Linked DNA regions of Saccharomyces cerevisiae S288C. The main gene of each other region encodes a partner of the protein of the gene in region 4 in a complex. Each region holds a gene or a part of one and is shown on either strand. Other genes may lie near its edges.

What was found.
Region 1: IMG1 (region 4) and MRPL44 share a complex: the UniProt entries of both Saccharomyces cerevisiae proteins name them as parts of the mitochondrial large ribosomal subunit.
Region 2: IMG1 (region 4) and MRPL28 share a complex: the UniProt entries of both Saccharomyces cerevisiae proteins name them as parts of the mitochondrial large ribosomal subunit.
Region 3: IMG1 (region 4) and MRP49 share a complex: the UniProt entries of both Saccharomyces cerevisiae proteins name them as parts of the mitochondrial large ribosomal subunit.

The regions. Positions count from the first base shown.
Region 1 is NC_001145.3:720,460-723,008, reverse strand, and holds MRPL44 (mitochondrial 54S ribosomal protein mL53 MRPL44), read left to right. Parts: upstream 1-1,605; coding exon 1,606-1,663; intron 1,664-1,810; coding exon 1,811-2,049; downstream 2,050-2,549. Other genes in the region: TATA-binding protein-associated factor TAF7, read left to right, coding at 1-396; ORA1 (oxidoreductase), read left to right, coding at 613-1,416; MRE11 (MRX complex nuclease subunit), read left to right, coding at 2,356-2,549. UniProt on the Saccharomyces cerevisiae protein: Component of the mitochondrial ribosome (mitoribosome), a dedicated translation machinery responsible for the synthesis of mitochondrial genome-encoded proteins, including at least some of the essential transmembrane subunits of the mitochondrial respiratory chain.
Region 2 is NC_001136.10:1,384,081-1,387,077, forward strand, and holds MRPL28 (mitochondrial 54S ribosomal protein mL40 MRPL28), read left to right. Parts: upstream 1-1,992; coding exon 1,993-2,436; downstream 2,437-2,997. Other genes in the region: TFIIH/NER complex subunit TFB3, read left to right, coding at 1-696; MFA1 (mating pheromone a), read left to right, coding at 1,096-1,206; CMI8 (Cmi8p), read right to left, coding at 1,444-1,686; STP1 (Stp1p), read left to right, coding at 2,736-2,997. UniProt on the Saccharomyces cerevisiae protein: Component of the mitochondrial ribosome (mitoribosome), a dedicated translation machinery responsible for the synthesis of mitochondrial genome-encoded proteins, including at least some of the essential transmembrane subunits of the mitochondrial respiratory chain.
Region 3 is NC_001143.9:133,176-135,830, reverse strand, and holds MRP49 (mitochondrial 54S ribosomal protein mL61 MRP49), read left to right. Parts: upstream 1-1,696; coding exon 1,697-2,110; downstream 2,111-2,655. Other genes in the region: cAMP-dependent protein kinase catalytic subunit TPK3, read left to right, coding at 126-1,322; putative serine/threonine protein kinase KKQ8, read left to right, coding at 2,369-2,655. UniProt on the Saccharomyces cerevisiae protein: Component of the mitochondrial ribosome (mitoribosome), a dedicated translation machinery responsible for the synthesis of mitochondrial genome-encoded proteins, including at least some of the essential transmembrane subunits of the mitochondrial respiratory chain.
Region 4 is NC_001135.5:209,409-212,455, forward strand, and holds IMG1 (mitochondrial 54S ribosomal protein bL19m IMG1), read right to left. Parts: upstream 1,016-3,047; coding exon 506-1,015; downstream 1-505. Other genes in the region: RRT12 (Rrt12p), read right to left, coding at 1-202; BUD23 (18S rRNA (guanine1575-N7)-methyltransferase), read right to left, coding at 1,310-2,137; ARE1 (sterol acyltransferase), read left to right, coding at 2,521-3,047. UniProt on the Saccharomyces cerevisiae protein: Component of the mitochondrial ribosome (mitoribosome), a dedicated translation machinery responsible for the synthesis of mitochondrial genome-encoded proteins, including at least some of the essential transmembrane subunits of the mitochondrial respiratory chain.

The DNA.
Region 1 (2,549 bases), on a different chromosome or scaffold from region 4:
AAGCATAAATTAAGTAAAGCCACGAATCCTCTTTTGAAAAGCAGGTTCATAGATAGCATTAAAAAGCTCGAGAAGGAGGCTGAACTAAAACGTAAGCAGTTACAACAAACCGAAGATTCTGTCCAGAAACAACATCAACATCGCTCTGACGCAGAAACTGCAAATAACGTCGAGGAAGAAGAAGAGGAAGAGGAAGAAGAAGAGGAAGAGGATGAAGTGGACGAAGACGAGGAGGATGACGAAGAAAACGATGAGGACGAGGATAATGTGCATGAACGGGAACACATACAAGAGAACAAGGTGGTGCGCGAACTTGATGAAGCCCCCGCAGAGGAAACACTCGACCAGAACGATCTCGATATGATGATGCTATTTGGTGCAGAGGGTGATGAGTAAGTTCTCTTTATCATCTATATATTACTCTTATACACTATACGACTCTACTCTATGACGTATAGCATTGATATATATTAAGGCACGACACCGATTTTTCTTATCGGAGCGATATAAAAAGCTGAAGAAAGGAGGATAGATGAAACAGCATGGCGCATAGAAAGTGTTCAAGCTCACTAGTAAAGGCGGGAAATAGAACATTGAGAACGTATTTTGATAATGTCCCAAGGTAGAAAAGCTGCAGAAAGATTGGCTAAGAAGACTGTCCTCATTACAGGTGCATCTGCTGGTATTGGTAAGGCGACCGCATTAGAGTACTTGGAGGCATCCAATGGTGATATGAAACTGATCTTGGCTGCTAGAAGATTAGAAAAGCTCGAGGAATTGAAGAAGACCATTGATCAAGAGTTTCCAAACGCAAAAGTTCATGTGGCCCAGCTGGATATCACTCAAGCAGAAAAAATCAAGCCCTTCATTGAAAACTTGCCACAAGAGTTCAAGGATATTGACATTCTGGTGAACAATGCCGGAAAGGCTCTTGGCAGTGACCGTGTGGGCCAGATCGCAACGGAGGATATCCAGGACGTGTTTGACACCAACGTCACGGCTTTAATCAATATCACACAAGCTGTACTGCCCATATTCCAAGCCAAGAATTCAGGAGATATTGTAAATTTGGGTTCAATCGCTGGCAGAGACGCATACCCAACAGGTTCTATCTATTGTGCCTCTAAGTTTGCCGTGGGGGCGTTCACTGATAGTTTGAGAAAGGAGCTCATCAACACTAAAATTAGAGTCATTCTAATTGCACCAGGGCTAGTCGAGACTGAATTTTCACTAGTTAGATACAGAGGTAACGAGGAACAAGCCAAGAATGTTTACAAGGATACTACCCCATTGATGGCTGATGACGTGGCTGATCTGATCGTCTATGCAACTTCCAGAAAACAAAATACTGTAATTGCAGACACTTTAATCTTTCCAACAAACCAAGCGTCACCTCATCATATCTTCCGTGGATAAACCTAGCTAAACTAAGTAAATCTGTATACTTTTTATACATGTAAGACTTTTTAGCTATTTCATTCTTCCCTGAACCGTTTTGCGCGATTCTACGGAATATACCGGCGAAATAAAAGAGATAAACTTATGGATCCTCAAATAGAGGATGAACAGATGTGAAGAAGAAACGAGCTTAATTATATCTTCGCCATGATAACTAAATACTTCAGTAAGGTAATTGTCAGGTTTAATCCCTTTGGCAAGGAAGGTATGTATTTTTTTTCGCTCTGTTATTCGTTCTCCTTACCTTTGGCCATCATGATTTAAAGATTTGGCTAAACTAGGCTGAGGTAGGCTCGAACCGATCTATCACAAATACTAACAGCAAATGATATGGTCATATCATTGATTTCAGCGAAAGTTGCTAGGTTAGTACTTGCTGCCATTCCACCAACGCAACGAAACATGGGCACGCAGATTCAATCGGAAATTATCTCAGATTACAATAAAGTCAAGCCTCTTGTGAAAGTAACCTACAAGGACAAAAAAGAAATGGAAGTCGATCCATCAAACATGAACTTTCAGGAATTAGCCAATCATTTCGACCGTCACTCGAAACAGCTGGATCTCAAACATATGTTGGAAATGCATTGAGAAAATAAAGGCATCTACAAATCTCATTGTAGGCATGCACGTTTCTAATATTCTAACAAAAACAAAGTCAGAGTTCACAAGCAAGCCTGTAAATAATATATATGCAATTACACAAACGTATAGATAGATATACCCAACCAAACTGACTTAAGGTTTAAATAGTATGGCCAATCGAATAGAACCCAAACATTATAGCCATATTAAATTACTCTTTACGCTTGTAAGGAAGACAATGTGGAAACAACATTAAGAGAATGCAGACAATTGACGCAAGTTGTACCTGCTCAGATCCGATAAAACTCGACTATGGACTATCCTGATCCAGACACAATAAGGATTTTAATTACTACAGATAATCATGTGGGTTACAACGAAAATGATCCCATTACTGGCGATGATTCTTGGAAAACTTTCCATGAAGTCATGATGCTGGCCAAAAATAACAACGTAGACATGGTTGTACAGTCCGGTGATCTTTTTCACGTGAATAAGCCTTCCAA
Region 2 (2,997 bases), on a different chromosome or scaffold from region 4:
GTGTTCAACAAAACTATCGATGACTTCAATGGTGACCTTGTGGAATATAACAAATATTTGGAAGAGGTGGAAGACATTATATACAAACTAGATCACGGGATCGATGTGGCTAAGACCGAGGAGAAACTACGCACCTACGAGGAATTAAACAAGCAACTGATTATGAATAACTTGGAGAGAAGCAGAACAGAGATAGAAAGTTTCGAACAGAGACAAAAATTCGAAAAGGAGATGAAATTGAAGAAGCGACTGTTGGAAAGACAAATCGAAGAGGAGGAAAGAATGAACAAAGAGTGGACAAAGAAAGAAATCGTCAACCGGTTGAGTACGACCACCCAGGATATCAATGAAACAATCGAAGGCGTTAAAAATACGGTTAAATTGAAAAAATCGTCCGCTAGAAGGAAATTGGAAGAACTAAATAGAGTTCTGAAAAACAATCCATATTTCAATTCAAATGTGAACGTACAGAATTCGAGACTCAAAGATGCTGTACCGTTCACGCCGTTTAACGGTGATAGAGAAGCACACCCAAGGTTTACGTTGAAAGGTTCAGTATACAATGACCCATTCATCAAAGATCTTGAGCACAGGAAAGAATTTATTGCGTCTGGGTTCAACACTAATTATGCGTACGAAAGGGTGTTGACAGAGGCATTTATGGGCTTAGGATGTGTTATATCCGAGGAGCTTTAAAACATCAGGATAGTGTGCAACGTGGCATAAGCTATGTAATCAACTACTTTTTATTTTCTATGTACGCATATACATGCATTCACGATCTGTTTCAGTGTTCAGAAAAAAGGCACCTACTGCTACGGTTGGCCCATACCTTTATTCTTTGTTCTTGTTACAAACGAGTGTGTAATTACCCAAAAAGGAAATTTACATGTTAAATGAAACCCAGTAATCAGAAAAAACAGTTAAGAAACCTAAAATGGTAGAGATAAAGATACAGATTCAGTGGTTGCTGAAAATCAAGTAAAAAAATGAAATAGAGTCTTCATATATAAACCGCCAGAAATGAATTAATGAGAGGGATCTGTAACTGTTTCTCGGATAAAACCAAAATAAGTACAAAGCCATCGAATAGAAATGCAACCATCTACCGCTACCGCCGCTCCAAAAGAAAAGACCAGCAGTGAAAAGAAGGACAACTATATTATCAAAGGTGTCTTCTGGGACCCAGCATGTGTTATTGCTTAGTTTCTGCGTACAAAAACGTTGTTCTCCCTCCTTTATCTTCCTTTTCCGCTACACCAATATATCATGTTTGTTCGTAATATTTCTTTTTAGACCTAATAATAAATATCCTAAGTAACTATATTATATAAAATATTTTGATACCCTGTACCTGCTTTTGTTATCGTTGTACATCCATGCACACGCTCATATATATATATATATATATATATATGTATATGTACATATACCGCTTACCACCTACCGTGAAGTATATGTAAGGGTCTTCGCACCCGGATATCCCTTGTGGGATCTTGGATGCGGATGGTGAGTGTAAACAGGCCTCATAAAGCTGTCTCTGTGTGCGGAAGATGTCGTTTCATCGGCTTCGACCTCCTCCTTATCTTGCTTCATTGTTTCTTCGTAAGAGGGCGGATCTACGGGCAGCGGGGTCGCTGTCTCCTTGTATGCATGCTTATTTATATCACTCTTTCCGCTATCCATCATAATCTGTTTTTGTTTATGTGCTTTGAATACTCAACACATAAAATAATATCCAGTTAATTGTCGTCTGTCCATTGACGCTTTGCCTTTGTCCCTTTAGACTGTCTTTATTGTGAAATATGCACGGCTGAGAATTACGTATACAGTGACTATCGTATGGGGCGACAAAAGTTCCCAGCGAGAAACAAGATGAAGCAGACTGGGGCCTGCCTGTATGGAGGGAAGCATAAGTTAATATACCTCCAGATATTTGCAGATTAGGATACTGAACTGACGAAGACCTACGCTACACAACGAAGATAACACATGCTGGCACAAACATTCAAAAAACCACACAGAGCCGTTCTAGAACAGGTATCTGGGACCACGGTCTTCATCAGAAATAAGAGAACAAAGAGCAAGAGCTCACTGTCACCTTTGGCACAAAGGGTCGTCACGCAGTTGAGTGTGATGTCTGCAAGCAGAAAGCAGCCCAAGTTGCTGAAGCTGGCGCGTGAAGACCTGATTAAACATCAGACCATTGAGAAGTGTTGGTCAATTTATCAGCAGCAACAACGGGAGCGCAGAAATTTACAGTTGGAATTACAATATAAGAGCATTGAGAGATCTATGAACCTTCTACAAGAACTCAGCCCTCGTCTGTTTGAGGCTGCCAATGCTTCCGAGAAGGGCAAGCGATTCCCGATGGAAATGAAGGTGCCCACTGACTTCCCCCCAAATACGTTATGGCATTATAACTTCCGAAAATGATAGCGTGAGCGAACGCTTGACTGTCTCCTGCTGTAAATAACTGATGATCAATAGAATGCCACGTATATATGGACTTATATAATTATATGTACATAGACATATAAAGGGCATGTGGTAATTATGACATGAACTGTATCACTATTGACGTTTTTTTTACTGCTTTTTCCCATCCCTGCAAGCGAAAAAAAAAGCAAGCTGACTCTTGTATAAACTGCAAGGACTCATTGATTAAAAGTAGATTTACATTACAGACTAAAGGAAAAGGCAAACTATACCGGCTATACCACATTCGTTCAAAAATGCCCTCTACCACGCTACTGTTTCCGCAGAAACATATTAGGGCCATTCCAGGCAAGATATACGCGTTCTTCAGAGAGCTCGTCAGCGGAGTTATTATATCCAAGCCAGATCTAAGTCATCATTATTCTTGTGAAAATGCGACAAAGGAGGAAGGCAAAGATGCAGCAGATGAAGAAAAGACTACCACAAGTTTGTTTCCCGAATCAAATAATATAGACCGTTCTTTAAATGGTGGCTGCTCTGTGATCCCTTGCTCCATGG
Region 3 (2,655 bases), on a different chromosome or scaffold from region 4:
CGTCGGAGAAAATTTATAGGCGATCACTCTTTAAGCAATAAGAAAGTTTCACGTATATTATTGAATAATACATTAATCATATTGTATATCGGTGGTTGTACAAGGAAAGAGCGAGCCTGCACAAAATGTATGTTGATCCGATGAACAACAATGAAATCAGGAAATTAAGCATTACTGCCAAGACAGAAACAACTCCAGATAACGTTGGACAAGACATTCCTGTAAACGCACATTCGGTGCATGAGGAATGTTCTTCCAACACACCCGTGGAGATAAATGGAAGAAACAGCGGAAAGTTGAAAGAAGAAGCGTCTGCAGGTATTTGTTTGGTTAAAAAACCAATGCTACAATATAGAGATACCTCAGGAAAGTATTCCCTAAGTGACTTTCAGATTTTAAGAACTTTGGGAACTGGCTCATTTGGGAGAGTTCACCTAATTCGTTCCAATCACAATGGGAGGTTTTACGCTTTGAAGACATTGAAAAAGCACACTATAGTGAAGCTGAAGCAGGTTGAACACACCAATGACGAACGCCGAATGCTTTCAATTGTTTCACATCCATTCATCATTCGAATGTGGGGAACGTTCCAAGATTCTCAGCAAGTTTTCATGGTAATGGACTACATTGAAGGTGGTGAATTATTTTCTTTACTACGTAAATCTCAAAGATTTCCCAACCCAGTAGCCAAATTTTATGCCGCAGAGGTATGCTTAGCGTTGGAATATTTGCACAGTAAGGATATAATATATAGAGACTTGAAACCAGAAAATATCCTTCTAGATAAAAACGGCCATATCAAGATAACCGACTTTGGCTTCGCAAAATACGTTCCCGATGTCACATACACATTATGTGGCACACCAGATTACATAGCGCCGGAAGTGGTCAGTACAAAACCGTATAATAAATCAGTGGATTGGTGGAGTTTTGGTGTGCTAATCTATGAAATGCTTGCCGGATACACTCCATTTTACAATTCGAACACCATGAAAACTTACGAAAATATACTGAACGCCGAATTGAAGTTCCCACCATTTTTCCATCCAGACGCGCAGGACTTATTGAAGAAGCTAATTACCAGAGACTTAAGTGAAAGGTTGGGTAACTTACAAAATGGAAGTGAAGATGTCAAGAACCATCCGTGGTTTAACGAAGTGATATGGGAGAAATTGTTAGCAAGATACATAGAAACGCCGTACGAACCACCAATCCAACAGGGCCAAGGTGACACTTCTCAATTTGACAGATACCCTGAAGAGGAATTCAACTATGGAATTCAAGGGGAGGATCCATATATGGATTTAATGAAAGAATTTTAAGGAGGTTCAGTGGGATAATTGTAATTGAAAAAAAAAAAAAATCAATAAAAGTAAAAACAAGAACAAGAAAAAGCACAAACAAACCTGGTTATAGATTCTTGGTGAGTCTAACAGGGCCATGATAAAAAAGTGACACATGCATATATGTACATGTATATATCTACGTACGTCTATTCAATAGAGGTGTATACAGATAAATAAAGGAGCATTCATATACGCCATATTGTGACTACATTTGCGTCCTCAGAAGACTGGGACGTTCAAAGTGATCTAGGACTTTTCACCCAGGGAAAACAGGATATCTGTAAGAATCGGCCATAAAACTCATTAATAGAAGAACAGTATAACATAAGTGAGCCTGCTACAATAAGAAGATGTCTAAGGTTGCACAACAGTTAAAATTTTTGAATAAAATTAGCGCCACTACCAGACTACCGCAGATTCTAGTCGATCCTAAAAAATACTCAGGTCTTAGATTGACTTTTCAAACGAAAAACCACAATGGACATATGGGTGCCAGAGTTTTTTGGCATAACTACCTACCCACTTTGCAGTTCTATAATCCAAGAATGAAGTTTGACGTGATAAGGATAAAGAACGAAGACAAGCAAAAAAGCGTTCCATGCAAACTGGAGATTTTATCTCATGAAGGCTCCGTTGTAGAGACTATTGATATGCGTAATAAAATGCATGAAGATATAATGAAAGACTTACTTGACAAAATAGAGCACGTTCCTCTTCCTGAAAATGAGATCATAAGAGTTGGACCGCAAGAAAGTATTATATAAGCTTTCTCTCGATAAGTTTGTTCATGTATATATCAAAAAACATTGCCCTTCATGGAAATATGTAAATTCAAAACTCACTTATGGGGCATATAAGTATATAATTTAGAGTACAATAAGTAGGATTGTGCTGAATATTGTCAGCCCTTGGGTCCCTTTTTTTGCCCTCCGCGTATTTCTTGTGGAAAATAAGGAAATTTCATTTTCACTTCAACTAGCTAGTTTAATTGCATGATGGACTCAAAAACATTGACAGCATCAATGGTAATGCAGGAGGAGAAGAAGCGGCAACAACCTGTGACAAGAAGAGTAAGGTCATTTTCTGAGTCCTTTAAAAACCTTTTCAGGCCGCCTCGTTCAAGAGATTCAAGTCCTATTAATGTCACCCGAATTCCTTATCGATCGTCTTCTACCTCACCCAAGAGAAGCTCTGAGCCACCAAGACGATCAACCGTATCCGCACAAATTTTAGATCCAAAAAATTCTCCAATACGCCAGCGTAGTTATACATTGAAGTGTTGCACCCCGGGCCTGTCACATCCATTTAG
Region 4 (3,047 bases):
TCTTGGACAGGTTCATGGTCACGCCGCGGAAGGATCCGATGGAGAATTTCTTCTCAATTTTGTTGTCGATGAACTGTCTCCATGACCTGTTGGAATTCGAAGTGAATTGTTGGAATGCTGTGGGATTTTTGAACCTCACCAAATACTCCTCTGCGTATGCGAGGTTGACCAGCAAAGAGATGAGTATGCACTGTGGCTTCATGACCAGTGTTTTTTTGCTGTTTTTCTTGGCGGATGTTAGAGGATGTCTAGCACTTGAGTATACCTCTATATGCTGTGTAAAATAGAAAATAAAAAAGCCAATGAGAACAATATTTTGTGTCGTTTTTTTTATTTTCGCTTCAATTCTCTATACACGTACGTCATCACTACGGGAAACCAAAAAAAAAAAAAAGAAAACAGTACAAAAAGGTTTACTTTACCCATAGTTAGTATACGTAGATTTTATACACGCACTATTTTTCTTATATACAGGAGATGGGTGGCCACAGAACCCGCGCCTAGCCTATTTCTTTCTTCTTAGACCTGCCTCGAGGTCGCCGACATCCAACCTTGTACCTCTGATGTAGTAGTGTTTGTTTCTTTGTCTGCTCGAGACGTGGGGGGTTAGCAAGTCGATTCTCTCGATCAGCGGCGAAAACAATGGCACTCTAATCTCGACGGCCGTCTTGGCTATCTGGTTCCGCAACAGCAACGAGGCGTCTTGCACCAGTTGTTTGCGGTCTATGGAAAGGATGTAGCCAACAAAGGTGTCGTACGAGCACTTGGACGAGTCGTACACAATCCGGACCACGTCGCCTGCCTTCAAGCGGTCCTTGTTCTTTTTACTGATGAGCTTCCTCTTAACGGCCCCGGGATCCAGAGACTCTATTTCTGAGAGGGCCACCTGCTTCATAATCTGCGACGAAGCTATGCGCTGCACAGGTGGGTACACGGGGATGGTTTTTCTCTTGGTGGCGGGGACCATGTAGGACCTTGTCCATGATCCAAGCAATCTGACGTTCCTGCTCCACATCGCTATGGTTCTCTCTCCCTTTCAGCAGCTGCTCAGAGGGAAGACTCGATTCTTCTTCTTCTTCTTTACTGGGAGTTCCAAAGCACCAAAATTGAAAACCAAGAAAAAAAGGAAAATACATCACTACATAAAAGTGCGCGGAGCCATTGACCACTCACATACAGATATAAGTGTATATATACAAGTATACATATACAAGTATACATGTAGAAGGAGACAGAGACAGAGGGAAATGTATAAGTGTGTATTTTTATAGTATACAAAAGAATATGCGTGTGAGGATGTGTGTTTCTTCTAGAACCTGTGTCTTCTTTTCCTCCCGGTGAACTTGGAGTCCTTCGCAACTTTCCTCCCACGTCTTTTCATGAGCTCCTTCTTTCTTAGAATGAAACTCTTGGCAGACTCCTTGTCTTTGCCTCCCTTCAAGCGCTGGCGCAGTTGTTTCTTCAAGTTGACGTTCTCCTCGTCCATGGTCACACCGTCCAAATTCACCTGCTCCTCCCCCTGCGGTGGGGCCCCACTGCTCAACACAAGGTAGTACTTCTTATTCTTTTTAGACTCTGGGTCGTCCACCACAAGCCCGCCACTGAACCCTGCCACCTTGGCAGACTGCAGTATGTCGTCCACCTGGTCGTCGTTTTTCGGGTAGAACTGGGCCACAAATTTCCCTCCCTTCTTCAGTGCAGCATACAATGTGTTGAAAAACCTCATCAACCGCTGTTTAGGATCGTTGTATGAAGTGTCCGCATTGCACAGCCATTGGATCGCACTGATACTAATAGCCGCGTCAAACGAGCCCGCCCGGAACGGTATCCCGGTGCCCATATCCTGCAACATCAAGTCGCCCTCCAGCTCTCTACTAAGACCGGTCGCAAGCATGCTGGGCGATATATCCAAACCACACCACACATGGTCTCCCTCCTGCGTCAAAATCTCCCCAGACAGTCCGGACCCGCACCCGATATCCAGAATGAAACTGCACGGCTGCAGATTCAAAAGCTCCAACGCCCTCAGCGTCATCTTCGCCTGGATATGCTGCACTCTGGTCGAACCCGTGTACTTGTGTGCTTCGCTATCATTATAGAAAATCTCCGGTGGTGCCAACTCCTCAGGACGTGACATTATTTCTTCTCTGATATATTTCCTGTGTTTCCGTACCGCACCTTTTTAGCACTACTTTTTTACTATGCTCTTCTTCTTCTGCTTCTTCTGCTTTTTTCCTCTTTATCACACTATGTATGTGCTGCTCATCTCTTCTTTTTATCGATAAAATTGAAAAATGTGAGATGGTGTAGAGTGAAAAAAAAAAAAAAATCTGGCTTGGCCATCAAATACCCGGCCGTGGTTGGACTCGTTTAGCGAACAATAGCACCCAGCAGACCCTGGCAACATGCGGATGATATAAGAAGGACGAGCGTGGTGGAGGAAAGGGGCGCCATTGGCACACTCACGCAGGTGGTTGTTCAGCACGGCTTGCAGCAAGAGCGCCAAAACAGATTGCAAGAATGACGGAGACTAAGGATTTGTTGCAAGACGAAGAGTTTCTTAAGATCCGCAGACTCAATTCCGCAGAAGCCAACAAACGGCATTCGGTCACGTACGATAACGTGATCCTGCCACAGGAGTCCATGGAGGTTTCGCCACGGTCGTCTACCACGTCGCTGGTGGAGCCAGTGGAGTCGACTGAAGGAGTGGAGTCGACTGAGGCGGAACGTGTGGCAGGGAAGCAGGAGCAGGAGGAGGAGTACCCTGTGGACGCCCACATGCAAAAGTACCTTTCACACCTGAAGAGCAAGTCTCGGTCGAGGTTCCACCGAAAGGATGCTAGCAAGTATGTGTCGTTTTTTGGGGACGTGAGTTTTGATCCTCGCCCCACGCTCCTGGACAGCGCCATCAACGTGCCCTTCCAGACGACTTTCAAAGGTCCGGTGCTGGAGAAACAGCTCAAAAATTTACAGTTGACAAAGACCAAGACCAAGGCCACGGTGAAGACTACGGTGAAGACTACGGAGAAAACGGACAAGGCAGATGC